4 linked regions of the Ovis aries genome follow. The main gene of each other region encodes a partner of the protein of the gene in region 4 in a complex. Links are inferred from orthologs where the notes say so. Each region holds a gene or a part of one and is shown on either strand. Other genes may lie near its edges. The genes, in order: GNAS, UCN, CRH and CRHR1.

Region 1 (7,369 bases), on a different chromosome or scaffold from region 4:
CTGGCCACGAAGGAGGGGGGAGGCATATTTTTGCCACACTGTTCCTCTTTGTCACGTTTTAAATTATAGCAATAAAATACAATACTTCTACCTTATCCAAAGTGTGAAAGCTGTCCTATCTCCCCACATGCTTGGAGGTCAATTCAATTAATTACTTCAAGGTAATTAATTATGAACATCACTTTACTGCAGGTAATTATCATTTTGCTCTACCAGGCATTACCTGTTTGTATAAAAATAATGTCACTGCACTAAAAAGTACAATTAAGGGCTTTATAAAACCAGTGAATTGGACTACAACTTTCAAACTGCAGGCTGGCTTCTCTGAAAAGAAGTAACTTAAACAGTGTGAGTTGTGGTTTTTAGGATGTTCTCCATGCGCTCGTGTTTGTGTGTGTGCGCGTGCACGCTGATGCGGAGACAGTGTACTTACTACTGGGCGCAGTCAATCAGCTGGTACTCATTGGAGCGCTCATAGCAGGCACGCACCCCTTCATCCTCCCAGAGAGCCTTGGCATGCTCATAGAATTCCTGGAAGTGAACAAGAGAGGGAATGTTTAGACACAGGGGCTGCTCCCAGTCAGTGAGACCAGAGTTCACCCTGCCACCAACCCTGGGTGCAATTATTCCGTTTCGAGGCAAACTAAGGAGTCAGTGTTCATAAAGAACTTCAGCGTGCTACACGTATTTGGAAATTGACACCAGCTGATCTCTTTCTGTGGATTACTGGTCTTGGGTAGTTTTCATTCTGTACTTTTTTGGGAATGGGATGAAGGGCCAAACTGAACTACTGAATAAGTTTCTTTCCTCACCCAATTGCTTACCTAGGAGGAATACAAGCTAATTAGGAGACTTTGCCAATAAATGATTTGATGTCATGGAGGTAAGACATCTCATTTATGAAGATGTGATGAGACCGCAATTTTCCTTCCAGGAAAATGTGAATTTTAGCAAAAAATATTATAATTGGGAGCTATTGGCAAATCTGACCTTGTCAGTCAATGCCTATCAATCAAAGGAGCAAATGACCTCTGCCTAGTTTTAAACTGCAATAGGTCACGGTTCATATGTCATTTGACGTAAAAACATTTTTAATTATATGGGGCAATCTCCCCTTACAAGGGAAGGAAAGGTTTTTCTGCAATATGAATGCAGCAAGAAAAGGGTCAAAAGCTAAACAGGAGGACCCTTAAGAGTCACCATCCTGGTGCATTTTCTCCTGTTAGAGCTACAGAATCACAGAAGAGTCTGTGTTGGGCATTATGTATGCTGTGTTTACTGCTGGACTCTTCTTTTATTTCTTCCTATTTAAGAAAATTTACCTAGCCATACTTATTAATACTGCTTCCTGGATAGGAGAAGTTTGCAGCCAAACACATTTAAAATATACAAACACAAATTCCCACGAAATCCTGACAAAAGGCAACAATAAGTCATTGTTTTTGCTGTAGACAAGTCTTTTCCTTTTGGACCTTATAAACTTGCCCATCTTTCCACCGTATTTCCTGTTCCCCTCTTATAAACTATTCTTCCCTCACTAAGGGTCAAAACATATATATATATATATATATATATATATATATATATATGCTTAGGGCATGGGCAGTTCTCTGTTCCCTAAAAATAGTTCTTTACAGAGCCAACAAATCTGTGCAAAAAGTGTCCTGCACGTCAGCCAGGGAACAGAGAAGACAATCCCTGTGTTATGACATTTAGGTGAGGGCCTTTTGTAATTTTTTTTTAATTAATGAGAAAAGACTTCATTTAGCCAAAGGACTGATTCTAGAAAAAAAATTAACAAAAGTTAAATGGCAAGTTGTTTAAAATGAGAATATCTCCCATTTATAAAACTCAGCGCTGGCACTTCATTTCTCATTCCTTGATATCTCAGAATAGTTTCAATCGCTAGACGATTAGCATTTCTGTGCCATACTCAACATACAGTACTTTGTCACAAGATGTGTATACGGGAATAATTAAGGCTGCCACAACTCATGACTTTTTCTTCTGTGAAAATTTACAGTCCAATCCAGTGGGAATTGTAGTATTGAATTGGGATGTTTACTTGTGGAGAGGAGTCAAGACTGACAAGGGGTGACATAACTTTGCTCCTCCATCTTGACTAAAGCCCTAATGATTATTGCTAGCTGTTGCTGTCATTTAAAGAATAAGGATTCTTAATGGGTTAACTGTTTCCTAACAGTGTCAAAGAAATGGATTTTGCTGGCAGTGTGCAAACTGAGTTTTGTGGCAGAGTAGGGGGAGGGGGGCCCCTGGTGGTGTGGGGAGGGGGTGCAGGCTTGGCTTACGGGAGGGAAATCAAAATCCGGCACGTTCATCACGCTCAGAATGTAATCCACTCTGAACTGGTTCTCTGGGTTGGCCAGCTCCACAGGGGGCACCAGGTTGCTCATGGCGGCCACGATGGTCTGAAAATGATGGAGCAAAGGTCAGGGGGAGAGCACTGTCTGAAAGGGAGGCTAAAAGAAACGACAGAAAAGGACCAGGCACGTACTTCAATGGCCTCTTTCAGGTTGTTTTTGATGTCCTGCACTTTGGTGGCCTTCTCACTACAGTGGGATTGAAAAGAAAAAAAAAAATCATATTGCATCACGTTGACTCACAGTGTCGTTTCAATCACGACTTTCCAACTAAAATAGTATTCTGTTCTTGAAGGAGTGGTGGGTTCAGATCTGTGCTTAGGTTGGAGGTTCCTGAACAATGGTGGTTTCAAATGATAACCATCCATTGTGTCCTGAGGACACGCCCAAGTAGGGCAGAATCCCAAGCATCTAGATAAGGATTGTGGCTACTGTACCAGAAGTGTGGCCTGGTTATTTACTATTCAGAGGGGCTTCCACCCTCTTGTGGCCCCCCCTGCATACCAGCACTTCCTAAAAGTTCCTACTGGCCTTTATTAGCATCCCTACTGAGGTTTCAGTTGCTCAGTTGTGACTCTTTGCGACCCCATGGACTGCAGCACGCCAGGCATCCCTGTCCCGAAGCTTTTGGTGGGAGCGGTAAAGTGTTACTGTAGGGTTAGGGAGGTGCGGAAAGGTCATGGTGTGCCTTGGGGCTTCTTCAGTCACTGGATTAGCATAGGGATCAGCAGTGAATGAAATGTAGGTGGTAGTGTTAATTACAGACTTAAGGGCCCTATTTATTGGAATAGTCACTGTGTGTCCCTCGATGTGGCCAGCAGCAGTGGACAATATTTCTAGTTGATGATGTTCATATACATTGATCCCTCGATGTGAATACAGTAAAATGGAATTCTGCCACCCCTCCCTGAAAGTCTTTTAAGATCTGGGACTTACGAGGGGAAGGGGAGGGAGGCGGTGTGGCCTATGCCCCACGGTTAAGTAGATGTTAGTGCCTTCATCACTTTTTGATTTTAACTTGCACACCTGGCAGGGCACGTGTGGTCTGTGTGGAACCAGCTACTTTCAGGGTCCCTGGGGCCACAGGTAAAGGCCCTTTGACTCTGGGGAACCCTGACATTGTGCTTGTCCCTGTGTCTTCAGACACTGTCCATCATCAAACACAGCCAAGAAAGATTCTTTGGGGCTGTGTTCTTGCCACAGTATTGCCCAGAGTGGGTCACCTGTGGGCTAGGGGATTGGACCACACCCAGGACACACCTACTGAGTATCAGGTCCTGGGAGGTGACAGTAGTGTCACAAAGATGGAAGGTGCTGTCCTCAGGGGAGGGGCTGAGGGTCCCGGTGACAGAGGCAGGAGGGGGACAGGGCTTATATTTTTCTTGCTGGGGATTTTTAAAATAAATCTCTGGAATCCAGTTGATGTATTCACGGGGTTAATTCACCTACAGTACTGGGATGGAGGTAGAAATTAAACACGTAGCCCCTCAGCAGGGGCAGGACACGACAGGACATTAGCGTAGAGGACAAGCGGGGAGGGGATGTTAACAGCAAGAGCAGCCTAGCCGGGAGGTCAGTGTGACGTGGGGAGGGGGAGGCAGCTCCAGGGCCGGGGGTGGGGTGGGTTGTGTGGCCATGTGATCGCCTGCAAAGCCCCGCCCCCCGGAGAACTTGGCCTTTCACCCTTTCAAAATAAGCCTTTTGCATATTCCTTTGAGCGGTGGGCCCTTGTTTTCCGAGTGATCTCATTTCTTCCTTTCCCCAGGGTGCAACTGGCCTCCGAGTCTCGTATCTGAATGGGGGGAGCTAGTTGGAGGTACTGCCCTCATCAGGGGCTGAAGAGGTGTATGCTTTGCGGGTGCAGGGCTACAGATGGTACCAGGAACCCCCTCATGGCTTTTAATAAAAGTGCTGCAAGGCGGGAGAACTCCAGGAGAGCTGTGCTGCCAACCAGAAGTGGGGGATTTGTGCCCCAAACCCCTGACTCTTAATGCAACCAGCATCGATATAAAGGGATCTCATCCTGACCCCCTCTGTGAGTTTGTGAGTTTCTGAAATTCCCAATCGTGTCCCGACTTGGCGCTACGGCCTAAATCAGGTATTTAGACATTGTAGTTTTAAACGGACATGTTTGTTCCCAAATTGCACACAGAAATTCAAAGTTAAAACCCCACAAGACAGTCTCATTCCCATTCATTAGAAAGAAGCTCCATTTCCATGGTAATGAGCGCCTTGGAGCTTTGGTTTTAAGGTCCCACAACAGTTAAAATCATGTATGTCTGGGTATTAATGCCCAAATGAGCCCAAAGCAAGAGAAAAGTTATTTCCAGAAACCTGGTTCTTTCATTCAGGTTGATATTTTGGTCTAAGTAGTAGTATGGTAATTGGAAAACTTCCAGTCTTAAATACGGATATTCTGAGAATGTGCTCAGTATTCATCTACGTATGTGAATAGGTGTGGGAGTATATCAAGTATAAAACAGCTAAAATAGAAATCTGAAATCTAATTCGGGTGTGTAATACTAAAACAAAAATTCCTCCATTGAAGCAATTACTATGTAGATGGAGATATTATACTGGGGGTTGGCAGGTTTATCATAACTTTTACTATCGATTAATGAATTTAACATTGATTGTGACAGCCTCTGATAAAGTTCCTCATATGTTTTTGAAGTAATGAAAGCCAAAATGTATATCAACTACATACAGAATTCGGATGGATGAAAAGTGGGGGCTGGAAGTACTGTTGGATTTTGTAACCCCCCCCCTCCCCGCTACCCGCAGAATATATAAAGCCTGAGATCACGGCTGCTTTATATGCTGGGTTCAAATTTTAAGAGATGGCCACCCCCTCCTCCAAGTGTTAGGGGAAGGCTATGTTGTATACTGACTTCTATACCTTTTTATCTTTATGCTTTTTTTCTTTTGGTGGGCAGACAGACGAAAGAAGAAAGACAGAAGACAGACGCAAGATACAGGGATTGCTGAGACATGCAGAGAATTTTTATTTATCACATTTGTTAATACTTAAGTTTTAACTTGTAGAACAGAGTCACAGATAGAAGAGCAGGCTGTTAGTAGGTATTAGTAGGGTTCAGTCAGGGATCTAGCATAGCATCTAGGAAGTATACAGGTGGTGGTTCAATAGGGAGGTGGTTCAATAGAGAGGGGTCACAGCTCCCAAATGCCAACTTTTGGTACAGTAAGCTGTCAATCACTGTTTATGTAGATGCTTTGGGTGGTTGATACACTATGTATTTGTCAATTAGGGATTACTTTTTTTTTGCTTTTTGTTTTTTTTTTTTTTTTTTTTAATTTTTTTTCAGTTATCTTTAGAGGTTAGGTGTTGGGGCCCCATCCCCCCACCCCCCACAACAGAATAGTATTCTTATTAGAAGTTCCTAAGACGGGCAATTCCAGCATGCAAAGTGTGATAGGACATAGCCGGGAAGATGAGAAATTGAAGCCATCATCTAGGGGTTATATAGTCTAAAAAAAACAGATGAACAAACATGTGTCAGTTACTTGGTCCCGACCCCCATCTCCTTTGCCCCTCCCCTCCCAAGCCACAGAAGCTATTTTTGAGGTGCCCTAGGCTAGGTCAGTTGGCTCTGCATGTTCTCAGGACAAAGACCTGCTCCCTCACTGCATGCTGAATACGCAGAGCAGTGCTTGGAGAGGGTTACCTGGCATGCGTGTATGTACGTGTGCATGAGTGTGATGGGCAGTGCGGATGCAGGAAGTGAAGGAAAAAAAATAATTTGATAATGAATGGAAAAAGATGGAGGCCATCATTAATTTCCTGTCCACTGGATAAAATGACAATTTTAAAAAGACCAGAGACTTTTCGAGATCATTCTCAATAATGACCTCCCTCCTCCTCAAGGTGCCAAGCATTTATCTCCCCCCGCCCAATTAAGGACGGTGCGGCACCACGTATTTTAATAGAGATAAAAAGATTTTTTTTTTCCCCCCAAAGAGGTCTGAAATCTTAACATCAGACCAGCCACAGGGTAGACAGAATTTAGTAGTTTTAAAAACAAGTAGCCAGTTTTTAAAACAAGTAGCCAATTCAAATGGAGAGCTGGGGGTGGGGGATAGAAACCGTCTATGTTTGAAATCCTAAATTGACCGTCTTAATGCTGAACGCTACAGCTTTCCCCCAGCTGAATCTAACTATACCTTAAGGATGGCAAAAAAAAAAAAAAAAAAAATTGTTTTGCACTTCACTTGCTCTGAAATGACAAGAAATTGTGTTGTTTGCAAATGTATATACCAAGATGGCTGATGGCCTTAAATGATTTTGGTTTTCTTCCCGGGTCTCTGTGTCCTGTTTCCCAGTATGAGCTTTGTGTTTGTCAGGTGTGTGTGTGTGAAAAGTTTTTCTGTTTTTGAATGTTCCTACCCATCGCTGTTGCTCCTTGCAGCCTGCGGGTCCTCTTCGCCGCCCCTTTTAAAGAGAGATTGAAAGCTCACCTAATCTGCAAGGCACCGCAATTTCACAAAAACCCCACACAGCCTCCCTACATTCCTAAACAAACGGCCGCCATCCTCCCGTTCATTCTTAGGTCGCCTTCCTGGCTAAATTGGCACGTCTACTGAGACTGCAGGCCATGGAGGGAAGAATTCCACACCTTCACTGCAGCATTAGCAGAACCCTCTGGAGACTTCCGTCAGGTACAGGAGGGACGGATAATTATTTTCTTGTGCTTTCACTAAATGTACATGCATCAGGGAGCTAACGCAGTGATTTATCTCACAGTTCTTTGGAGAATATAGCAGCGTGAAAGGCCCCTGATGGTTCCAGACCTCAGTCGCCGTGTTGTACTGAATACACATAGGTCCATGATTTTCGGCCCGTGACTTTCTGGTGCATTATTAATTTCCTCCCTTCTTGAACTTGGGCAGCTACGTATGTTTTTATTTCTATGTAACTGTTCCCACAAATTGTCATCAATTAAAAGTGTGCCTGGACTGTGAGGCACACA
Region 2 (7,218 bases), on a different chromosome or scaffold from region 4:
GGGGTGGAGATGCAGGCAGAGCCGAGCTCTGGAGGGGAGGAGCTGGGGCGCCGTGGTGCAGTGGTGTCTTCTCTGAGCAGATGTCTGTGTGTGATACTCACACCAGTTGGCAGTTGGCACTGGGAGGTCCAAGGTGCCCGAAAGTGCTGGTGTTCACTTGTTCCTTCTCTTGTCTCCTCAGGACTTTCCTGATGCTCTCATCACCAACTACTATGTAAGAGCTGGCACCTCAGCTGCTGCTTCTGCTTTCTTGAGTCCAGAAATGCCCAGGGATCAGGGGTCCTCCTGACACAGAAATCCCTCCATTGGGATTACTCCCTCATGCCCATGTGGGCACCATAGTCAGGGAAGCACTCACTCAGTGCCATGTGTTCCTGTCTGGAGAAGCTGGAGTCAGACCAGGCAAGGCCTTGAGACTGGCGTTGGGAGATGGAGGCAGCCCCCCAACCTTTCCCTTCTCTCTCTCGTAGCTCTGGCCTGCCGTGCAGTTGGCCAACTTCTACCTGGTTCCTCTTCATTACAGGTATGGCAGATCCCCACCCCACGCTTCAAGGAAGATGCATATTACAAACAGAGACAAAGTGATCCTCATTTTTAACCTTGAACTACCTTATAACACGCCCTGCCCCTGCCCCCATCCAGAACACCCTGCCCTGGTCAGAGCTCCTCAGACTCCTGAGCACTTTGTTCAGAATCTCTTATGTTATAGAACATCCCAGAGCATCTGCCTACTGACATCTCATCTTCCTAGGGAGGATCTTGCTCCACAGCCCTCATCTCCATCCCACCTGGGCTCTCTACCTTTGATGGCCTGACTGTAGGGACAGTATTACAGCCTAGGTTAGGCAGAAAGGTAGACCAGAGTCAAGTAGGAACATGGTCAGGTTAGTCCACTGAAAAATATTATTTTATCCTAAATAATCAGGGTAGTGGCTGAAAACTCAATAAAAATAAATATAGTGGAAACAGGATGAGTGGTTAAAATTATTGGAGGTGAGGGGGCTTTGGGAACAGGGGAAATCATGAAACTCTTAGAGGAGACAAGGTCAGAATGGACATGAATAGCATAACTAAAAGGAATACAGACTTATGAACCAAATCAAACTTTAGAGTCCTGGCAATGCTCTTTGAAACTAGAGTGAAGTATATTTAAAGTAAAGAGAAGGAGGTGCTGCTTTATATGGCAGGCAGCACATTTTTGGAAGATGAGATCTCAGCTGTACAAGACAGATGTGTATTTAGAAGGAGCTTGGATAGAGTATGGATAAAGCCATGCATGGCAAAATGGCTGCTGGGGGGCAGTTAACTTTGAGACTCTTGTCCAGGAGACAGAGCTCTGGGCCAGCACAAGCACCTGAGCTGGTTGTCCTCTCATCTGAGCCACACATCCCTCCATGGGGGCTGAAGGAAGGAGACCTAGATCTGGACATTCTTGGAGATATTCACCCTTTGTCTGCTGCACTTTCCCCCCTCTCCCCTTGGCTTCTTCCTTATACTTCCTCTTCTTCATGCCACTGTCCCTGTTCCTTAGGTTGGCTGTGGTCCAGTGTGTTGCTGTTATCTGGAACTCCTACCTGTCCTGGAAGGCACACCGGCTCTAAGTCGGCTTCACTCCGTCACTTCCATCTTGTAGTGATGCACCTTGACCCTGGAAGGATCAGACCACCTCTTCAAAGTGGGCACATTGGTCTTCACAGGGTTCGGTGGCTGGTCAGAATTTAATGGGGTTAGCACCCTGAAATGGCCCATTTCACTCTAAAATGTAACCTGACTCCTATTGAAATGGCTAAAACGCACCACACAGTAGGCACTCCATAAATATTTGTTGAAACATCATTTTGTCAACTTTAGATTATACGCTCATCCTGGAAGATGCCACTTTTCCCCAGTCTTCATAGACAGCTGTTTTCCTAACCCTTCCCAGCCTCAGTGTAGCTCCAATTTGGGGGAGATCCCCTCAAACTCTCTATAGGGTGCCTCTGTAAATATATTTCTAAATAGGTAATCTGGAAGCTGCAGAGGCAATGAGTAAGACCCAGCAGAAAATGACTGGGGAGTCTCATTTTCCAGGGTTTGGAAAGAAGTCTGGAGACCCCCAAACCCCAATCTTCTATTACAGATGAGGACACTGAGGTCCATAGAAGTAAAGTGACCTGTCCACACTGTGAGTTAGTGGCAGAGTAGAAACACGAACATGTGCTATCATCATTTGAATGTTTGTATCTCCCCAAGTTCATATGGTGAAAACCTAATGCCCAAGGTGATGGTATCAGAGGTGAGACCTTTGGGAAGTGATTCGGTCATGAGGGTAGGGACCTGGTGCTTACAAAAGAGGCCACCTGAGAAGACAGGAAGAAGCAGGTCCTCAGTGGACAGTAAACCTACTGGTACTGTGATCTTGGACTTCCTGGCCTCAAGAACTGTGGTGAAATAAATGCTTGTTGTTTATAAGCCACCCAGCTTTTGATATTTTTGTTATACCAGCTCAAAAAGACTAAGAAGCCAAGTTTTCTTACTTCCTACTCAGTGATCTTAACCTAGAGGTCTGCGATAAAATAATATTGCTGCTGTGATTCCCAGGAGAAAATTTAACTTGGCTAAACTTCAGCTTTGAGGCAAACCAAGAAGCAGATGGATCAGCCTTTGTTATCTGAAAGCACCCCGGCTCGAGAGGCCCTCTTTTTTAGGCACGTCGGACAGACAGCCCTAGGATTTAGATCCTGGGGCTGGAAGAAGATCAAGAATCCTGGCAGCTCAAACTGCCTTTTGGGTAGGGTACCATTGTGGTAGCTGAATGCTAGCAGTGCCATCCTGACTGCCTCCATTTATAGAACAGATAGTTGGGGCAAGGGACTGGATCTGAGCAGCACAGCATTTTCCCCAAGGTCTCTGGCCCCTTTCAGAGGCTGAGCACAAGGTCAGCACCATGGACAGCACCACCGTCCTGCCTCCCTTTCCTGTTCCAGAGAAGGTTGGAGATCTGGACTAGTCTGGGGACTGACCGGTCCCCCTAGTCCCTGCTGGCTGTTCTAAGTGAGTGAAGGACTCTCGTGGCTCCCAGAGCAATCTTTACGCCCCAGAAGGCTTCTCTTTCTCTTGAGTCCAGTGTCATTTCCAGAGACACAAAGTCTGGTGTCCTCCGGCGCGCTCCTGGGGTCTCGCAGCCATAGGGTCGGACTCAGAGTTGCGGCCGTCATTGCTCTACAATCAGTGCATGTTCCTCGCTGACGTCAGCCGGAGCTGTTCTGGCGCTATATAAGGCTGGCGAAGGTCCCGGGACAGACCCCGTGTTCCCCGTGGCGCCCTCAGCCCTCCCCGAGGGACAGAGACTGGAGCTCCATCCTGCAGGGTGCAGAGGCTCTGCTCTCCTGCGAACTGTGAGTGGCTTCTGCGCGTCTGCCCAGACTCCCTCAGCACTAGGACAGCGCTCAGCTCACCCAACGCGACACCCCAAGAAGGAGGCAGGGAGAAAAGGGTGGCACAGGACTGGGAGCGGCTGGGGCTGGTGGGAAGGCTGTGGGCACCTGACGGCAGTCGCAGGGGCCGGGCAGGGGCGCTGGACGTGCTCGGGAAGGGGAGCGGCGTCCCCTGAGACTGCCCGAGGCGCACCTCACACTGCGCTGCCCCTGTGTGTCCAGGGCCGGCGGGACCATGAGGACGGCGGGACGCGCGGCATTGCTGGCCGCGCTGCTGCTCCTGGCACAGCTGCGCCCGGGGAGCAGCCAGTGGAGTCGGGAGGAGGAGGCGGCGGCCGCCGGGTTCCGAGATCCGAGTCTGCGCTGGAGCCCCGGGACTCGGAACCACGGCGGCGGGGCCCACGCTCTCCTCTTGCTGCTGGCGGAGCGCTTCCCGCGCCGCCGGGCGGAGCAGGGCCGATGGGGATCCAGGACGGCAGGTGAGCGGCAGCGACGAGACGACCCTCCCCTGTCCATTGACCTCACCTTCCACCTACTACGGACCCTGCTGGAACTCGCGCGGACGCAGAGCCAGAGGGAGCGCGCCGAGCAGAACCGCATCATATTCGACTCGGTGGGCAAGTGATCGGCGGGTCTCGGGCCCCGACAATCTCGACCCCCATGCTCCACCTCAGGGTTGAGACGTGAGCGACAGGAACTGACCAAGTCCTGCAGGGCTAGAGCGGCCTAGGGATACCCTGAGCACTCTCCGCGTTACCGGTTTTTAATAAAAGTGCTGAAGAGCCGTTGGCCTCTGTTGTGGGGGCGCGGGGAGCCACAGAAGGGTGTGAGCCCGCGGGGAAGTGGGGTCTCCCAGGCCGGCGAGAGGGAACCAGATGCTGTGGGAGGGCTCCGTGAGAACCGCTTTCTGCCAGGGTCCTGGGGTCCCCATCGTCTCCAAGTCTCCAGGAAGTCAAGCCCCAGTGTCGCCGCCCCACCCCCCTGCCCTCTTCTCTTGGCTCTGGGCTCGCGAATCCGTGCCTAATGTCAAGGAGGTGCCCCATAAGGGTTCGTTCCGCTTCACACACCCCACCCCCACCCGTCCTCGCCCCAAGAGGTCCCAGATTTGGAGAAGGGCAGGATGGATGGTGATGCTATGTCTCCGAAGCAGAAGCTCAGAGAGTGAGCAGTGAAAGGAGCTGCGGGTCGGGACGCATTAACTCTTTATTGAGCCCCTCCCCCGCGGCGCCACGCCGGGCTGGGTGGTACGGTGGTCTCTGCTCAGGTCGTTCACCATCCGAGCGCCAGGACCCGGGTGCGCAGGATCCGCAACAGGAGCGAGTCAGTGCTGGCCTGTGCCTGGGAAAGAAAGCTCAGTGGGCGGGCGCTCCCAAGAAACAAGGCAATTCCGAAGCCCAGCTCACTCGTTTCTCTAAGCAGGAGGGTTTCTCCTTCACTTCCCCACCTAACCCGGTCTCCCACCAGCCCAGAGAGATGGATAGTGTTAAAGAAAGTTGTACTTGGGCCGGCGCGCTAGAGGGCGCGCCCCTCCTGGTTGAGGTTGGGAGTAGGGGCTCCAAGCGATCCCTAATGCCCCCGAGAGTACGATGGCCCGACGGTGGAAGGGGGTCCCCGCCAGGCCCCGCCGATGTCCACACTCACTTTCCCGCCCATCCGTCCGCTCTTCCTCTGCTCCTGCGTTGCCCTCTTCCCCTTCTACCGCGACCTCCTCATCCTCTTCCTCTCCAGAAGTGCCTAGGCCAGGAGAAGGCTGGGTGAGTTGGGGTCCCTTATTCTCTGGCCGTCTTACCCCCATCCCTCCCAGACCCAGAGGGTCTGGACGCCCAGTCCTAGCGGCTGGCCGCTCCCTCCCATCCTGGCTTCCTCACCTGGCTGGAAGTCAATGGTCCTCAGCATTTCCGCCACATGCTCCACGCTCAGGGTGAATTGATCCATTCTTTCATAGCCCGGCTCCGGCCGGCCGGCCAGCTCCACCTTCGACATCGTCCCGACCCTGCAGCAGCCCAGCGGCTCAGCTAGAGACTCCCAGCACCACTACCCCCGCTTCCCACCCTTGTCAGTGGAGTCCCCGCCCACCCCTTCCTCTCCCTTCCCGCTTCACCTACTCACTTATTGATCAACTCCTTGGCCTGCTGCAGGGAAGAAAGGAGGGTGAGAGTAAGCACTGTGCCAACGTCCAGCAATATCCCATTTCTGATGCCCACCACTGTCCTGCGGGTTAGGGGGGATGCATGTCCCAATTTGTTAAGGAAAAAAATGGATAGAGAGGGTGACTTGCCCAAAGCCACGGGGCAAGTAGGAGCCAGAGGTAAGACTTGAACCCGGCTTCCCAGTGCAAAGGCCCCCACTCCAGCCACTAGGTGGCCTGCCACTGCCCGCCCCCCTCCCCCCAGGGCCCACCTGCAGGTAGAGTGCCATCTGCGGCTCCTCCATGGACTGGATGGCAGACTCCACCAGCTTAGAGGAGGCCTCCAGGTGGTCTCCGTACTGGCGGATGAGGCCCCTGACTCGCTGCAGCTTCTCCTCCTGCTCCCGGGCCAGCGCCTGCAGCAGCTCACCCTTCCGCTCCTCCAGCACTGCACACAGGCCCTCAAACCTCTGGTTCAGCAACTGCTTCTGCCTCCGGCTGTTTTCCTGAAAAACCAGGAGTAAGGATGAGACCTCACAGCTGGGAGAGTACCAGGCTACTTGTCCCACTCCCCACTTAATGGCAGTCACGGGGAGCCAAGAAGAGATGTGACCCGTCAATTACAACCACAAATTAGTGGCAGAGACCGGACTCCACCCAAGGGCTGCTGGTTCCCAGATCTTTTCAGTAATAATACTGATATATACTTTGTTGAGGTTTAATTGACATATAACATACTAGCTTCAGGTGTACAACATAATGATCCAATATTTGTATATGTTGTGAACGGATCACCACAATATGTCTAGTTAACATCCAGCACCATACATAGTGGACAAAAATTTTTCCCTGTGATGGGAACTTTTAAGATCTACTCTCTCAGAAAATAACACTATATATTTAAAGGAGTTTCATTGAGTGCTGCTGCCTAATTCTCTGACTCTGGTTTTTGTTTGTATTATCTCACTTAATTCTCAAAAAGATCCATGGAGGTAGCCATCATATCATTCTCATCATCACTCTTTTACGTAGTTAAAAACAAGCAAACCCAAACACTAAGAAGTTAAGTCACTGGACCAAAGTCACAGAGGAGGACAGAGCTGGGATTCAAACCTAGCAGCCTGGGTAAGCACATTCTACTACTTGTGATTCACCTCCAGTAGCCCAGCAACTTTCCCTCCCTCCCTTTCCAGGCTCACCTCGATGGTCTGGCACACCTCCTCCATCTGTGTGATCACTGCTTGCACACGGTCATTGCCGGCCACCAGCATCGCGATGCCATCGCTGAGCTCACTCTGCCACACACAGAGGCCAGCACTCAGGGCTGGAGGACCTGGTCTGGAGCTAAGCCCCTCCCTCCCTCACCAGGGCTACCCAGGAGAGGACTGTCCCCTCCACTCCACCATCAGGGCATCCTCAGGGAAACTCTGACAGAGATCTAGAGAGTTTGGAACCATTCAAGAAGTTTGGAAGCACAGTCTATAAATTCTGGAAGGAAGTGGAGAGAGGAAGTCCTCCACCACCAAGTGAGAAAGAGACATTCACCAAATATCCACCAAATACCACACACTGGGCTGCATGCTTTATCTTCCATCAATTTTGAAAAAGTCTTCAGGATTTTCCTTTAAGATAATATTGCCTCTTCTGCATTCTCTTTATTCTCTCATTCTGAGA
Region 3 (7,809 bases), on a different chromosome or scaffold from region 4:
GGGAGGCCTCTTCCCTCTTCTCTAACAGATTCCTCTTGTCTTATCGACAAGGTCTGTCCAAGCAGGGTGTGTCAAGCCAAGGACCTAAGGGTTCTTTGAGTTTTGACTGTATCCCATTAACAATACAATCCATAAACCTGGGCCCAAGCTCCATTCATCAGACATCAAAGGCCATAGCTGCCATCATCAGTAACAGGGCTGGTCTTGCTGTCAACACCAGAGAATGAGGAGAGTGATGCAGGCCTAGCAACCCAGGGACACCAGCAGCTGCACCAGCTCTGATGGATTGCCTCTGGAGGACCAAAGAGCATGTCTAAAAACAAAGGGGACTCATGCTGCAAGAAGAGAACTGTGCTTAGCTGCTGCAGCGAGGGGCGGTGCTGGGGGGAAGGAGAGATGAGATCAATAGTGTTACTTTATCATTTCAGATATAAATTTGTCATCTGGATCAAAGATACACTCCATATTCTTTATGAATAAAAACATGTTACCAATTAATGCTGAGCTGCTCAGGAGAAGTAAAACCAACATAGATTCCTTTCAGTACTAGAGCAGGGATGTAAAGCTGTCTCTTTACTGTTACGGTTAATCTGATCAGGCTGAGGATATTTTGGCACTTTTCTGCCTCTGGAGTCATCTGAAGGAGGCTTCAGGCAGTAGCAGTGATGTGCCAGGAAGCCTAATGGCAGCTTTTGCTCCCACACAAACTCCAGACAGGAAGACTCACACCCAACCTCTCCAACCCTTAGGCCCCTGGAAAGTGGCCAGGGGAAGACATCTTGCAGGCTGTTCACCTAACTCTCAGCAGGTTCCCTTGCCAGGCTAGGCATACTGGGCATACTTGTATTCTGTGACCCACCCCCCTGGCTATGGTGACCTAGTCTGGGCCAGAGCTGGAAATTTGGAGTCAGGGCTGAGTGTCCAGTTTCAGTCTGGGCTGGCCCCTGGAACAAAGGAGTTACAAAGACCCAAGGGCTGTGAATACAGTCATTTTCTGCTAAGTGGACTGAGAAGTAGAGAAAGCCAGTGTAGGGAAAGGGAGCAGGAAGTGTCTGTAGACAAGAGAAAATAGAGACAAGGGAGGGGCTTCCTGGGTCCCCTCACCTGACCCTCTCTGCTCCCTCTCTCCAACACTCTCCCCTCCTGCCCTGGACCCTTGTCCACGGTAAATGGATGACTGGACACTCAGATCCCAGGGAGCTCTCCTGCACCTGACCGGCCCTCCTGGACTTGGTTGAATGCTGGCTGGGATGCCGCTGATCTCAGCACAGCTTTACTCTTCTCGCCCTTGGTCATGAGGCACGTACCACCTCGTGTCCCCAGCACCTAGACATGCGCAACACGTATGCACTGAGTGAACAGACATCACCTTCTCTGAAGGCATCTCAGGGAGGTTGCTCATTCACTGGCTTCCCACACAACATGGGTATTCTTCATGAATATTCCCCGTTGCTTCTTCTAGACACGACTCCTCCTCCCTTGTAAACCCAAAAAGCACAAACAAAAAACCAACAACTTCTCTCTGACATCACAGTCATCCACCCATCTAGACCTCCTTCTTCAAATCAAGCTCTCCCCCTCCTAACATGGGCCCTCTTCAGTCCACAGTCTGATTCCATCCAGCAATAACTTCAGGGTTTCACAGAAGCATTTCAGGGTAAATTCAGGCATGGCCTGGCGAAAACTAAACTGTCAAGTTGAGGGTAACTGTATGGTTGAGACTAGACGTACTAAACAAAGAGGGGACTTGAGTCAATCCTGCTGAGTTTGGCTCACGTAAGCAGCTAAAATAGAAGAGTCAACTTTGAGAGGAGTGCCTCAGTTCCCCACTAAAATCGAACTGAGTGGACATTATAGCTTTTGGCATCTAAGACAAGAACTTACTTTGCACTGTGAATAACACCCCGAATCCTTTCTATTTGATCAGCAGCAAGACAAAACAAGATCATCCATCTACCCCACAGTACAGAGCCAAGATAGAACGATGCCTCAGGAATGATGATGAGAGTGCTGGTGGGAGTGATCTAGTCTCGTCCTGTAAGGCTCTCATGACCTCTGTGTAGTTTAAACAAGTAAACCCTTCTGAGGAGATGTACTGCAAAGAAAGTTGCAATTATACACACATGTAGCTGCCTGCACCTCTCTTCAAACCCCTTTTATTTCTTGGTCCCTATGTAACTTGACAGTTGTGCATGTGGAAAATGATTAGGAAAGGGAGAGCTTCTCCCTACAGAACCAGAAAGCAGGTCAGCAGGGAGTGGATCTCCTGCCAACAGCAGAGATTCAGGCAGGGGTGGAGGGAGGGAGGTTGGGGCGGGGAGTCAGCGTAGGTCGGAGGGGGGGCACCTGCCCATCTTAACAGGCAGGGTGTAATTGCCTGTGCTTTCCCAGGGCCTTAGCACCATTCCTGAAAAAGTGGTGGGTTGGAATGGGTTGGCATTTGAGAATCAGCCACTCTGGTCCCCAGTTGCTGCCCACTGCTTCTTGGGTGAGAGGAATCACGCAGGTGGTTCAGAGAAGACATTTCTCCCAGGTGGCCCTGACTGATAATATTACAGTTTACACAGGGCCAAGCAATATGCCCTCACCCTTGACCAAATTCAGGTACTTCCAGGGGAGCTCCAGTGACAGGTGAACACAGGTCTGCAGAGTCACACCCACATACACACACGCACACACTGTTCTTGCCCCGCCCTCCCCACCTGGAGCAGCTCCAGCCTGTGATACAAAGAAGCCCTGGATGCTCATAGGAGGATGGGATGGCAGTGATGTTTCCTCTTGCTCATTAGTCTTGGCAGTTGCTAAACTCTCAAGGTCAAAATTTACATATCAAAATCAAATGGCAAAATTCTCCAAATCATATACATCTGACTTTCCATGTCACTATATCATATGAATTATGTGCCACTGTATAGCTCAAAAGCATGTAACTGACCCATAAAATCTTTAATGTTCCAACTGTCCATCTCAGGAAATACCAACCAAAGTAGAAACAACACTCTGCATGAACTTCCCTTTTCAATTTGCATCCTCACCCAGATATCCAACCAAGCACATGAGCATGTCTAAACCTATGCTGGTGGCCACACTGCGAGCTGACTTCAGATGAGCCATTACTAGGCCTGCCCTCACTTCCAAGCCACATCTCTTGGAACATCGACGCCCACTCTCCTCCCACTCCACTCCTCAATATGTCTGCTAAGGAGAGGGCCTGGTCCCTTTTCCTGAAAAACGTAGAGTTGTCTGCAAATATAACATGTCTGACTCCAACCAAATGACAACCTAAATTGTTTCTAGAAAGCTCGAGGCAAATTTATCAGATGGTTGCCAAAGTCTGTGCTTTACTCAGAAGCAGCAACATGTGGCCTGACTGAACCATTTCCAGCAAGACACTCTGCTGATGCTGCTAAGTCGCTGCAGTCGTGTCCAACTCTGTGCGACCCCATAGACAGCAGCCCACCAGGCTCTCCCGTCCCTGGGATTCTCCAGGCGAGAGTACTGGAGTGGGTTGCCACTGCCTTCTCCGCAAGACACTCTATAGTTATTCGTAAACCCAACAGATGAGGGGTCCATTCAGGCAAGGCTGGACGGGGTACATGCCACTGCTGATGGGGGAAAAGGGAAACAGGAGCAGCAAGACTCCCCTCCTCAAACAGGAAAGCGTGGGGGGGGCGGCTAGATCGGGCCTTACAGTGCGTGCTTGGAAAGCTCAGTTTTATGCCCTATTCAAGAGCTTTTGACAAGTTAATTTTGATTTAAACTAATATCCTCCCAGTTTTAGATTAAAATAATCTACATAGCAATATTCATTATTAGCATTGTTTATAATCATGAAAAGCTAGAAGCCTATGCAGGAGACAACAAAGCAAAATAAAACAACTCCACTCAATGGACTATTAGGACATAATTAAACAAGGATTCTGAAGGAATCCTTGAAGGAATGTTGTATTAAGGAAAATGCTTAGAATACAATGCTAAATCAAAAGGCAAAGGGAATAAAGCTGTGCATAATATATGTCATGATTTCACACTTTAAAATAACACAATGCAAAGAAAAATAGAGGCTAGGAGACAGTTCACCAAAATGTAAATGGTGGATACATTTAGGTGGTCAGATTACAGTTTCTTTTTCTTTCCACATACCTCTGTTTTCCAAATTTAATGAACATTACAACTTTTAAAGACCTTATTTTGTTATAAATATGTATTTGAAGATATAAGTCAACCATCTCAAACACCGCACTATAAAGATCCCAGGGAATCAAAAGATGCAGGTAAGAGAATTACCGTATGAAACCAACCTATGCATCTAAGGGAAGATGAGGGAAGGCTGAAGTGAGTTAGAAGCTGTTCATCTGATGGAAGATGAGGAAAACCTGCAGTGATTTAGACGTTCCTGGAAGCCCTCTTGGGGGGTGGGGACCACCATGGCACTTAGGCTGCCTTTCTCCTTTCTCCCTTCTGCTTTACCACAGGGAAATAAAGAGTCAAACAGCACTTGTCTACTGAGAACAAGAAGCTGTACACTGAAAGGCTGCCTTCGCCCGGTGCATTTTTAATTTTGCTATTTCCAGATCTGAAACTCTCAGGAACTTAAGAGTCAGACCTCGGGCACCTTTAATATCCTAAAAGAACTACAATTCCAGAAGAGGTTTTTAATTCATTAGAAGATTGCATTCCTGCACACTATCACCTCTCTGTGGAAAGGAAGCAACTTTATTATTGCAAATACAATGCCTAGCACAGTACTTCCTACCAAAGGGTAGGAAACATATTTGTTGAATGAATGCTTTTAAAATACTATCTTTTCTTAGAAACGGGGCTAGCCTAGGCAGAAATTGAAGTCAGTTCAAGGTTACCAAAAATTAACTATATTGTGGTATTTGGTTTTTAACTTGCTATATGTTATTTAGACAAATTCACTATTTTAATTATTTAAGAATTGGTCAAATTAACGTGTCCTGTCATCTTTAACACAATGGTTTGCACACAAAAGTAAATGAAGCTGACGCCACCATCCATCTAGGGCAACTTCCGTGGATCACAGACTGCAAAGTAAGCAACAACCTGTGGAACACCACCCCTGTAAACCCAAAATGGAATGATGACAACAGACCCTAACCACTCCCAAGAAGCCTACCTGTGGGCCAGACAGCTGGTTCCGGAACTGGAAGGAAAACAGCAGCAGCCGCTTTGCAACCTCCCAGTCGACGGCGAGACATTCATGGCGCCTGGTCTCCCATGATGCCTTGCTCCTAGGCCCTTCTAACAGGCACCACCTGGAAGCCCAATTCAAAGTTGCTTTACAACGTCATTGGTTTCTAGCAATAGTTTGTGGGCTACACAGCTCAAAGATTTAAGTGACAGTTTTCTATGCTGTCAGCTCTTCAGCTTTCTGCTATCTCCTCAAAGAAGGGCTCTGTTGATTCTTCTGAATAAATATGAAATAATGATACTCAAAATCCTTTAAATAGGTGAACTTCTGGGAGGTTTCCAGTGCTCTCTCATTTAGTATCAGACCCTCTGTCAGAGAATCAGAATTGGGTAAGGGGGTGGAGACAGAAAAAAACCTTTATGGAAATAGGATTCTTGAGTTTAGCCATACAGTAGGGTAGCGTCTCCTCTTTCTGAGATGCTTTAAAATAATTCAAACTGAATGCAGAAGACAGAGTGGATGGTCTTTTAAGCATTCTCCATCTTCAAGAGGTTGGCCACTAACGAGTTTCAGGAGGAAATTGTACCTGTCATTTGATGGCCAATTCAATTCTAACACATTTCTAAAACATCAGACACAGATTTTCATACAGATAATGACCTTATAGCTTTCTCATCCACTTAAACCTACTGGTTGATTTTATCTCCTAGTTATTAAGTACCTTCAACCCTTCCTCCAACTGTTTTGTTTCCTTGAATCCTTTCATTCAATCCAAGTCCGTGTGAATGCACACTGTGTCTTCTGCAATGAAGAGGGTTCTCTTCCACTTAAATCATATAGTCCTTTAAAAAGGAGGATTATTAACCACTATGTCTTGGTCAAATTCAACATGAGGACTTCCTTGGTGGTCCCCTGCTTAAGAATTTTGCCAATGCAGGGGACACAGGTTTGATCCCTGATCAGGGAAGATCCCACATGCCGCAGGGCAACTAAGCCCGTGCACCACAACTACTGAGCCAGTGCTTCTAGAGCCGGTGCTCTACAACAAGAGAAGCCACCACAACGAGAAGCCTGCACACTGCAATAAAGAACAGCCCCTGCTTGTACAACTAGAGAAAGCCATCGAGCAGAAACGAAGACCCAGTGCAACCAAAAATAAATTTAAAAATTTTAAATTCCAATGTGGAAAATTACATTTTCCCTCCCTCCAGTTTTCCCTGTCATTTTAACTAGAGGCACTGTTTAATATCCCACTCAAAATAAAACCTGTTGTAGAGAGGGCTACCTTTAAGGGGCCTGCCTTTTCTAGTACAGAGGAGACGGCATTTCAGAGACGTGTGACTAATACTCCAGGGGTAGGAGCTAAGAACATTGGGATCCTTTGGGAGTAGAGGTAGCGCCAAAGGATCAAATTGATTTTTATTTATGCCTGCGGTAGACTATAAGACAGATTTTTCCCTCCAGCGTTTTGCAGCATCTTCTGAGATTCAGAATCAAGGCAAGAGCTGCCTGGTGATACTGTGTGGATGACGCATTCCGTGGAGCTGACTCTATGACATCATGTCATCCTGTTCTCAGTTAGAGCAGGCTGATGTGCCTGCCCCGCACACCCCAACCCTGTGAGTCACTGTGTGATAGATGGTCCAGGAAATGCAAAATGATGCTCTTCTGAAAACTTACAATTGAAAAATTGAGGCTTCCAGCCAGAGAATGTAGAGAGAAAAAAGTAAACTCTCAGGAGGGGCAGGTTCTCATTTCTGTTTTTCTTTTCACTGTTGTTTAAGTATGAAATCCTACAAGGGACTGTAGTTTATAAATAATTGTTGCTAGTGGTTTTGTCATTGATGTTTTATTGCCTCAAAAATGAAGTTTAATTTTCCACTAACTATAACTTCGTTCTGAACAGCTATGCCACCCCATATCCTAAGGAGTTTTATCATCAAAAATGACAGACTATCTATGTGTGCATTGTGAACACTGAATAAAGTTGGCTGTATAAGCTCCACTTGTGCCTGAAGAATCCTGTAATACAAAATAATCTGATGCATACAAACTTACAGTGGATTTGAATAATGATAAAACAAAATATCAAGGATAATCTACTTAAGAAAAAGTTAAAATTTGGTCTTATCCAAATAGTTCCAATCCAAAGGTAGGGGAGGGATCACATGATGGACCTCAAACAGTGAGAATTCAAAGTTTAAAATCTTTTCCTCTTTTGTCTCTACCTCCCAAATGTCAGTAAATAAAAGAATTAATAAACCAAAGACCCAGTGAACAAAAACTGCAGAGAAAAAGAAACAGCAGAGATTAATGAAACCAAGATGTTAACAAGGATAGAATCTTTTTCTGGCAAGGTTGACCTTTCCAGCCCAGCTCATAGTACTTCTTACTCCTGTAGCTTAAGACGCAAGGACATTCAGACAAATTAGCAAGAGCCCAAAGCCCCAGGGTTGGAAAGCAATCACGTGGAAAGCACACACTAGATACCTTCCCTTGCCTCAAAATCACTATCCTTCTCCTGCTAGAAATGCACTGTTAGTGGGCAGGACAGTGTCATGTTGGACTTTGGATGCTATGGGCTTGGTTTGGACCAGTCAGTCAGTCAGTCAGTTCAGTCGCTCAGTCTTGTCCAACTCTTTGCGACCCCATGA
Region 4 (7,369 bases):
ATGGTAAGCCACCCTCTGGGGGGTCCTTTCACAGGGCATGGGGCTCTCAGGGCAGGGGGCAGGGAAGGGCTCCAGGCTGCCATTTCCCTACAGCCGGCCTCATGTTGGAGGCTCACACGGTGCGAGCAAGCATGGTGGGCAGAAAATGACAGGTGGCTGGAGACGAGGGGTGTGCTGGGGGATGTCACGGGAGTGGGTCGCATGTAGCAAGTATTTGATTATTAAGATCTGCTCGAACAGGCTCCCAGCCTGACACTTGGGAAAAAAGACAGGAGAGTGGCCGGGGGAGGGGCGAGAGGTCGAGGCTGCCACCAGCCTGGAAGCCAGAATGTGTCACTTCCGAAGGACATCGGGAATCATCTGAGGTCTAAACCGAGGCTGGCTAAAGCGCACTGGGACACTCTCCTTCCTGCCCACTCTCCGGGGACACTGGGGCCCTGAAGCCCAGGTGGGAGGGGTCTGAGGGACATTCACATCTTGACCTTTTCTCCTTTGCTGGCAGAGATCGCTCTGCCCCACTCTGGACCCCTCTTAGGCATTGGTGGCTCTAAATATGTTTTCTTGAGTGAATTCTGGCCCTGACTCCAGGCAGCGCTGGCTGGAAGCCATTTCCACCAGAGCCCCTCCCCTCTGGAGGGCTCTCCATGGCTCACACTGACCTGCATGTCACATCTCCACCCCAGCAGGGCTGGAGGAGGGCGGGGGAAGCTGCTCGGATCCCAGTCCCCAAGCCTGGAACCCTGCAGGGGCAGAGGACCCCACAGGAGGCAGATGGGGGCCCCTGCTGCATGAGTAACATCAGTCAGGTCGCCTCCTGGGGCGCTCTCCTCATGCGCAAGAGGGAGGGCTACGTCAGCCGATCCCCAGGGTGCCGCCCAGCCTGGGACATGCCTCTGCTGGAGGCACCAGGCAAGAGGGAGAGGATGGGGCGGCGTGTTGGGGGGCGGGGGTGGGATTTGCTGCCGCTTACCTGGGAGCGGGAACCGCTGCCTGGCTCTCCCTCCTCTCTAAACCCTTCTGCTCAGAGGCTGCTCGCCCATAGCACCAGCGGGGAAATGAGGCTAAATGGATTTTTAAAGCTCTGCTCGGCTTCCCAGCCATTGGACCCAAGTCCCGGCAGAGCTGAGCCCTTGGGCAGAGTTGAAGATGCTGCTCATTCCCTCCTAATTGCTAAATGAGGGAGAAGCTGGCAGAGGGCTGAGGGTTCCGTGGCTGGGGTTTCAGGGAGGCCTGGGGGGAGGCAAGGGAGCTGGGGAATCCTATGTGTCTGCGGTGGATGGGAGGTGCTTGGGACCAGAGGCTGTTCCCAGATGTCTGCAAACAAAGGGACTTGGTGCCAGAGAATCTGGTGGGAAGAAGCATGGGCAGAGGAGGGGGCGTTGCCTTAAGAGAGGCAGCACACTATAGTGTTAAGAGCTCGTCACCCAGACAGGGCTTCCCAGGTGGTACTAGTGGTAAAGAACCCGCCTGCCAATGCACGAGATATAAGACACGTGAGTTCAATACCGGGGTCGGGAAGATCCTCTGGAGGAGGGCGTGGCAACCCACTCCAGTATTCTTGCCTGGGAAATCTCATGGACAGAGAAGCCTGCTGGGCTACAGTCTACAAGATTGCACAGAGCTGGACATGACTGTGGCGATTTAGCACAGCACCTAGATAGCCTGGATTTAAATCCTGACAGCACCCTTTACTAGCTCTGTGACCTTGGACGAGTCCTTCAGCCTCTCTGCTTCCTTATCTGCAAGACAGGAATGATCTTAACAAGAGTTCCTGCTCAATGGTTGAGAGGCGTTTTTAGTTGACACATACAGGGTATGTGGAGCTCTACTTGGCATGTGGTGTGAGCTGTTGCTTTTATTATTATTGTCTTGGAGCTATATTTATACAACCTTACATAAGACTCAGAATATGCCACTTGTCGCTATCAAAGGAGGCACAGGTCCCGGAGGCACCCCCTTGCCTCAAGCCCCCCCTTTTGAATGCAGGTGGGGCAGGAGCCTGGAGTCCCTCCCAGGCTGGATCATCCAGAGGGAGCAGGCTCTGGTGGGAAGTGAGGTGATCCCACAAGAAAACAGGCCCAACAGGCAGCATGAAGTTTCCAGGGAGGATGCGACCTCCTTGTCTTTAATTGCTGAGCTGAGCAGTCCTCCTGGAGAATCACGGGAAAATTGATATTTTTGGAAATATTTCCCATCCCTTTGAAGATCAGATGCAGTGGGAAGGAGGGCATTCGGGAGAAGGCCTAGACGTCCTGCCAGCACCTCCTCGGTAAACGAATTAACTGGTGCCTAATGATTAGGTACAAATCTGGGTTCCCAGTTGCCCCTGATTACGCGGTGTTTCTCATCACTGTGACAGGGGAGGCACCTGGAAAGGGGAGTCTCCTAGCCCTGCCCCCACCTCAAGGAATTATCACCTTCTCCTGCTCTTCTCCTGGGATCACAGACGGAAGAGCAAGGGAGCCAAGAGAACACTTCACCCAAACCTCCCACCCATCCTGCAGGTGGAGAAACTGAGGGCCCGGGCAGGGCCAGTTGCAGAGGGCTCCTTAACCAGGTGTGTGTGGAGTTGGGACTAGAACCCAGGACTCCTGGCTTCCACTCAAAGGCAGGGCTGACAAGTCGAGTAGCGTGTGTCTAGGCACTAATGGTGTATTTGGGGGGCTGTCGAGTTGTCCTTGGGGACAAGAGTGGGGGCAGTTCATGGGGAGTGGCCAGGGCTGGCTCAAAGGTAGGTCGCACGGTAGCCACAGAGAAGGAACCACAGAAAGGTCGACTCCAAGCAAGGGTGTGACAGGGTCGGATGAGAGACGAGGACTGGAAAGTGAGGTATCCTGAACCGGGGCAGCGGCACTGGGGATGGAAGGCAGGGAGGGTCAGACGTGAGGATCACTCTGGAGGTGGAGCTGACAGGACCTGGTGCTGTCATGGGCGGGGCTGCGGGGCTCCTTTTGGAAGTAGCCCCCCACCCCCCAACATACACCAGCCCTAGTGTTGCCTCCCTCCAGGGAGCTCCCGGGCCGGGCACCCGGCCGGGTGAGTGGAGGAGCAGGAGGGCTCTGGTTTCCCAGCTCCAGTGCCACCTCCAAGCTTTGTGACCTTGGGCGATTTCAGCCTCACTGCCTCCATTTCCTAATGGTAAAAGGGGCCCAACTAAGTTGGAGGTTGGCAGGATGAGCACCCCAAACTTTTCTTCAGGTCCTTCAGCCCTCCCTCCTACTTACATTCTCCTCACACCTCCTCCAGGCTCTCTTCTCCTCCTGGGTCCAGGCTGCATGGTCTGGCTGTTCCAGCCTCCTGCCCAGTCCCAACACCTCCCCAGGGCCCTCCCCACCCCTCCTTGACTGTGGCCCCCCACCCGAGCCCCCTTAATCCAGCTGGTAGAAAAGGGGAGGGGCAGGAGAAGGAAATTGAGAGTTTTGAGCTGGACAAAGTTTTAAGAAGCCGTGTTGTCCAGCCCTCTCCATCCTCAGATGAGAGGCCAGAGGACCATAAAAGAGGGGGAAAAAAATGTGCTAAAGGTCACACAATTATTTGGTATCTGAGATCACCTTCTGTCCCCTCTTTGGGCTCTAAGCTCAGGCCCACCAAACCCCAAAGGCCCACCCAGGGACCCCGCCCCCCCCCAGACAGGTCAGGGCCCCTGGCCTGCAGCTGTTGCTCTCTTGATAAGCAGGGGCTGTGAGTCATTGACAGGGGAGAGCAAATTAATTCTGAGGGTGACAGGTGGCATAGCAAGAAGCTGCAAAGCCTGGAGGTGGAGGCTCAGGGCCCAAGGGGAGCAGGGTGTTTATGTGAGGATCAAGTATCTGAACAAGCCCTGCCCGGATCAGTTCTCCTCTGTCCCCACCCCACTTGTGGGCCTGCCTGCAAGGACAAGCCCCCCGCCTGTGTATCTAAAACCCTGAGTCCCCTACCTCATGGCTGGAGGACCCTGGCTAGGCCTGGGAACTTCTCTGAGCAAAGCTGGGGCTACTCTGATGACCCCTGCCCTACCTCATGGCTCATGCCAACATTAACCAGCAGGTCAACTGCAGAAGAAAGTGTCAGACCTGGATGCAAATTCCGGTCTCACCAGCTGGTGATCTTGGGCAACTTCCCTAATCTCTCTGAACCTTGGAGGCCTTAACTATATAACATAGTTACATGTAGCATCTTCCAGGGTATTGCTGAGTGTCCGCAGTAAATAGCAGAGTGCCCAGTAGAGCACACAGCTGGCCTTTGGTCAATGGCAGCTGTACCCATGAATGGTATTGGTATTATTACTGTCACTGTCAGTATTATTTTCCCCACCTGCAACAAGCCCCCAGTTCTCTGCATCCTGTCCCACCTCCCAGGAGACGGTCTACCTTTCTCAGGCTTCCTTACTTGTGGTATTGTAGCGGACGCCATAGAAATAAGCAGGGCAGGGTCGAACCACCAGCTGCCCTGCAGGACTCTGGGGCCAGCAGGTGCCAATAAGGTCCACGGAAGCATTGCACTGCAGTCCTGGAGGCAGAGACGGCTGGTGAGACAGAGCAACATCCCCACTCCAGTGTCCCCCCAACCAGTCTACATTCACACACCAACTGAGGACAGGACAGCAATGACCCCAGTGCAGAGAGGAGCTCTTTTTCTGCAGAGGAGATACCAAGGGAAGGAATCTGAATTTGATGCTATGGCACTAGGGAGCCAATGTGGGTTCCAGAGCAGAGGAGGAACAGAGACACTGGGGTGGTGGTAAAGCTGAGGTCCTGGCTGGCATTTAGAGGAAGGCTGGACATGCTCCAGGTCCCCTGCTCTGTAGTCTGAGGACACTTCTCTTGGCCCTGCACTTGGTGTAGACTGGAGCGCTCAGAATTCACAGCCTGGAACAGCTTGGAAGAAACCCAGCCAATCCCTGACTCAGTCCCCTTACACGCCTCTAGAACCAAACCACATCTGCTCTGAACCTGTAGGAACCAGTTAAAAGAAGTTGGCCCACCTTCCAGCTCACCTGATAACCACAATCACTGAACATTTGTGCTCTAATCTATGCTAGGAAAGGACCTAGGAAAGGACTGGCTGAGAGGGATCATGGAGAAAAAAGGGAGAGAGACACTATGTGGGGAATTACTGAAGTAGTAATTCGGAACCCAGGCTTCAGACTGGGCTCTGCTACTCATTTGCTGTGTGAGTGTAGGCAAGTCACTTGCCACCTCTGGGCCTATCAATAATGAAGTAGTTGGATCTGATCAGAAATTCTTAATCTCAGTCCACTTGAAATTGTACAGGTTCTTATAGACTTTGAAATTTAATGAAAAATTTGTTCTATACATGCATTTTAATTGGGAAAGGGACCATGGCTTGCATTAGATTCTCAAAGGGAGTCTGTGACTCAAAAAAGGGTATAAACAACTGGACCAGAAAGAGGATGTCAAAATCCCCTTCCAAATGTTTGCCCTTAATTAAAAATTAAGAGCTTCTGGAGTCGTGTGTGTGTGTGTGTGTGCACGCACATGGACACTGGAGCAGAGTTGAAGTCATAGTAACACTTCTGGAGGGCAAGGGGCTTTTGGTCTCCAACAGGTGGGGGCTGGGCTGAGGACAGTCCTGGCCGCCCTCCTGATGCTGCCCCTTCTTTCTACCCCTTTCCAGGCTCCCCTCCTCTCAAGGCTGTCACACCAGTCCTATGGAGGCCCAGTGTGTCCATCACGACGGGAGTGGGGTTAATAACTCAAGACTGGCCCTAGACTGCACAGACAAGCCAGGGAGAGCCATGAACCAATGAAGGGGCAGCATCACTAGCGCAGGGCATCAGCAGCTGCCAAGCCCTACAGGGGCCCACCTGCCACCCCCTCCCCAGCCAGGCCTGTGCCCAGTCTCTCAGGAAACAGCACTGGTTAGACTGGCGTCCCTTCCCTGCTGAATGCAACACGTGCTGAGCAACCCTTGTACCAAATGCTGGCTTTTCTTTTTAACCAAAGCTTTTCATAGGGTGTGTGGGCAAGTCCAGGCTCAAAGGACAGAGGCCTCGAGGCCAAGTGTTTTAACTGAAAGAGAAAGAATTCGGAATTGGGGCTTAATGGACACAAGGAGACGACTAGCCAGGCGGTGGAGGTGGGTCAAGCCCTGGCGCTGTGCCACCATGGCGCCTCCATGAATGGCATCACAGAGAGGTGCTGGGGGTAGGGGAGTGAGGAAAGCAGGTTGAGATTTTAATCTGCCTTGGATCCTGCGGATAGAGCTGAGCCTGGAGAAGGCGAGAAGCCGCAGGTGTGTGGCTGTGGGGAGGGAGGGATAACGTTATGGACCGTGCTGTCTTTTTCAAAGCCCTTCTTCATGTATGATTTTGTTTGCTCCTCATCCACCCTGCAATGCCATTACTCCCCCTGTCTAAAAATTTACAGATTTGTTATTCCCTTTTTACAGATGAGAAAACTGAGGCCCAGGGAAGTTAAGTGACTTGCCCAAGGCCATAAGCCAATGAATGAAAGAACCAAGCCTCATCACCAGGTGTTTTGGACTCTAAATCGAGTACTCTATTATACCACACTGCGTGCCCATCTGGGGGGTGGGACAGTCGAGGAGGCAGTAGGGAAAGCAGCAGTATTTACTGAAAGCTGACTGAGTGCCAAGCGCCTGCCAAGTGCTTTACATCTTTCTGTATATCTACATGGGCTTCCAGTGGCTCAGACGGTAAAGAATCTGCCTGCAACGCAGAAGACCTGGATTCAATCCCTGGGTTGGAAGAATCCCCTGGAGAAAGGAATAAGACTACCTACTCCAGTATTCTTGCCTGGAGAATTTCATGGACAGAAGAGCCTGGTGGGCTACAGCCCATGGGGTTGCAAAGAGTCTGATACCACTGAGTGACTAACACTTTGACTTTTCATTTATCTACATATACCTATATCTGACTGAAAACCTTCCTTAGTAGATGGTTCATTCAGTCACATTCACAGTTTAGGCTCTGGGAGCTTTAAATGGAATGTCACGTGTGGCTCCTGGGACTTGCCTAAGGCACACTATCAGGGTAGCTTCTGCTTTACCTCCCCACCCTTTCTCTCTCCTGCCCTGGACAGTTCCCCAGCAGCCCTTCAACACACGGCAGGTCACCACGGGGCACCAGCCACAGCCAAGACCAGCCCAGAGCCAAGGCAGAAACCCACTGCCCAGCTAATAGCCCTCCTGGTCTCGAGGACCAGGTCTCAGCCAAGGCTCAGAGGCCTGACCCCGCCCACAGTTAGTCGGGGATATGCGAGTGGGAGGGGCCGAAGGAGAAGCCTTTTGCCCCTAGTCTGTGGTACAGATTAGGATTCCATAGCACCTAATATGGGCCTCACACCATCTGCCAACGTGGGTGCTCATTCTCCCCATTTTACAGATAAGAAAACTGACGCCCAGCAAA

What was found.
Region 1: the proteins of CRHR1 (region 4) and GNAS are in contact, whole or in part, in a cryo-EM structure (PDB 6P9X), measured with the Homo sapiens proteins. The link is inferred for Ovis aries from reciprocal best matches to the Homo sapiens genes CRHR1 and GNAS. Residues at the interface, in NP_004373.2 of Homo sapiens: Arg151, His155, Tyr212, Leu213, Ala216, Ile217, Leu219, Thr220, Tyr221, Asp224, Arg227, Ile290, Ile293, Leu294, Lys297, Leu298, Ala300, Ser301, Lys311, Lys314, Ala315, Val318, Leu319, Leu322, Phe362, Tyr363, Asn367, Ser368, Glu369; in NP_000507.1 of Homo sapiens: Gln35, Arg38, Ala39, His41, Val217, Phe219, Phe376, Cys379, Arg380, Asp381, Ile383, Gln384, Arg385, His387, Leu388, Gln390, Tyr391, Glu392, Leu393, Leu394.
Region 2: the proteins of CRHR1 (region 4) and UCN are in contact, whole or in part, in a cryo-EM structure (PDB 6PB0), measured with the Homo sapiens proteins. The link is inferred for Ovis aries from reciprocal best matches to the Homo sapiens genes CRHR1 and UCN. Residues at the interface, in NP_004373.2 of Homo sapiens: Leu106, Asn107, Glu109, Lys113, His117, Val120, Asn123, Trp169, Val172, Gln173, Ser177, Pro178, His181, Gln182, Thr192, Tyr195, Asn196, His199, Phe203, Phe260, Gly261, Lys262, Pro264, Tyr270, Tyr272, Gln273, Met276, Ile277, Tyr327, Phe330; in NP_003344.1 of Homo sapiens: Asn84, Pro85, Ser86, Leu87, Ser88, Ile89, Asp90, Leu91, Thr92, Phe93, His94, Leu95, Leu96, Arg97, Leu99, Leu100, Glu101, Leu102, Ala103, Arg104, Thr105, Gln106, Gln108, Arg109.
Region 3: the proteins of CRHR1 (region 4) and CRH are in contact, whole or in part, in a cryo-EM structure (PDB 6P9X), measured with the Homo sapiens proteins. The link is inferred for Ovis aries from reciprocal best matches to the Homo sapiens genes CRHR1 and CRH. Residues at the interface, in NP_004373.2 of Homo sapiens: Lys113, Tyr116, His117, Ala119, Val120, Asn123, Trp169, Val172, Gln173, Met176, Ser177, Pro178, His181, Thr192, Tyr195, Asn196, His199, Phe203, Phe260, Gly261, Lys262, Tyr267, Tyr272, Gln273, Met276, Ile277, Leu280, Tyr327, Phe330, Phe331; in NP_000747.1 of Homo sapiens: Glu156, Pro157, Pro158, Ile159, Ser160, Leu161, Asp162, Leu163, Thr164, Phe165, His166, Leu167, Leu168, Arg169, Glu170, Leu172, Met174, Arg176.

What each region holds. Positions count from the first base shown.
Region 1 is NC_056066.1:57,157,226-57,164,594, forward strand, and holds part of GNAS (guanine nucleotide-binding protein G(s) subunit alpha isoforms XLas), read right to left. Parts: intron 6,832-7,369; coding exon 6,787-6,831; intron 2,574-6,786; coding exon 2,516-2,573; intron 2,430-2,515; coding exon 2,310-2,429; intron 532-2,309; coding exon 434-531; intron 1-433. UniProt on the Homo sapiens protein: Guanine nucleotide-binding proteins (G proteins) function as transducers in numerous signaling pathways controlled by G protein-coupled receptors (GPCRs).
Region 2 is NC_056056.1:34,380,092-34,387,309, reverse strand, and holds UCN (urocortin), read left to right. Parts: upstream 1-2,579; 5' UTR 2,580-3,377; intron 3,378-3,638; 5' UTR 3,639-3,651; coding exon 3,652-4,041; 3' UTR 4,042-4,201; downstream 4,202-7,218. Other genes in the region: protein Mpv17, read left to right, coding at 1-192; TRIM54 (tripartite motif-containing protein 54), read right to left, coding at 4,738-4,754, 5,058-5,150, 5,285-5,409, 5,526-5,548, 5,817-6,050, 6,744-6,839. UniProt on the Homo sapiens protein: Acts in vitro to stimulate the secretion of adrenocorticotropic hormone (ACTH). Binds with high affinity to CRF receptor types 1, 2-alpha, and 2-beta. Plays a role in the establishment of normal hearing thresholds.
Region 3 is NC_056062.1:43,566,646-43,574,454, forward strand, and holds the start of CRH (corticoliberin), read right to left. Parts: upstream 5,227-7,809; 5' UTR 5,223-5,226; coding exon 5,141-5,222; intron 1-5,140. UniProt on the Homo sapiens protein: Hormone regulating the release of corticotropin from pituitary gland. Induces NLRP6 in intestinal epithelial cells, hence may influence gut microbiota profile.
Region 4 is NC_056064.1:45,562,282-45,569,650, reverse strand, and holds part of CRHR1 (corticotropin-releasing factor receptor 1), read right to left. Parts: intron 4,489-7,369; coding exon 4,369-4,488; intron 1-4,368.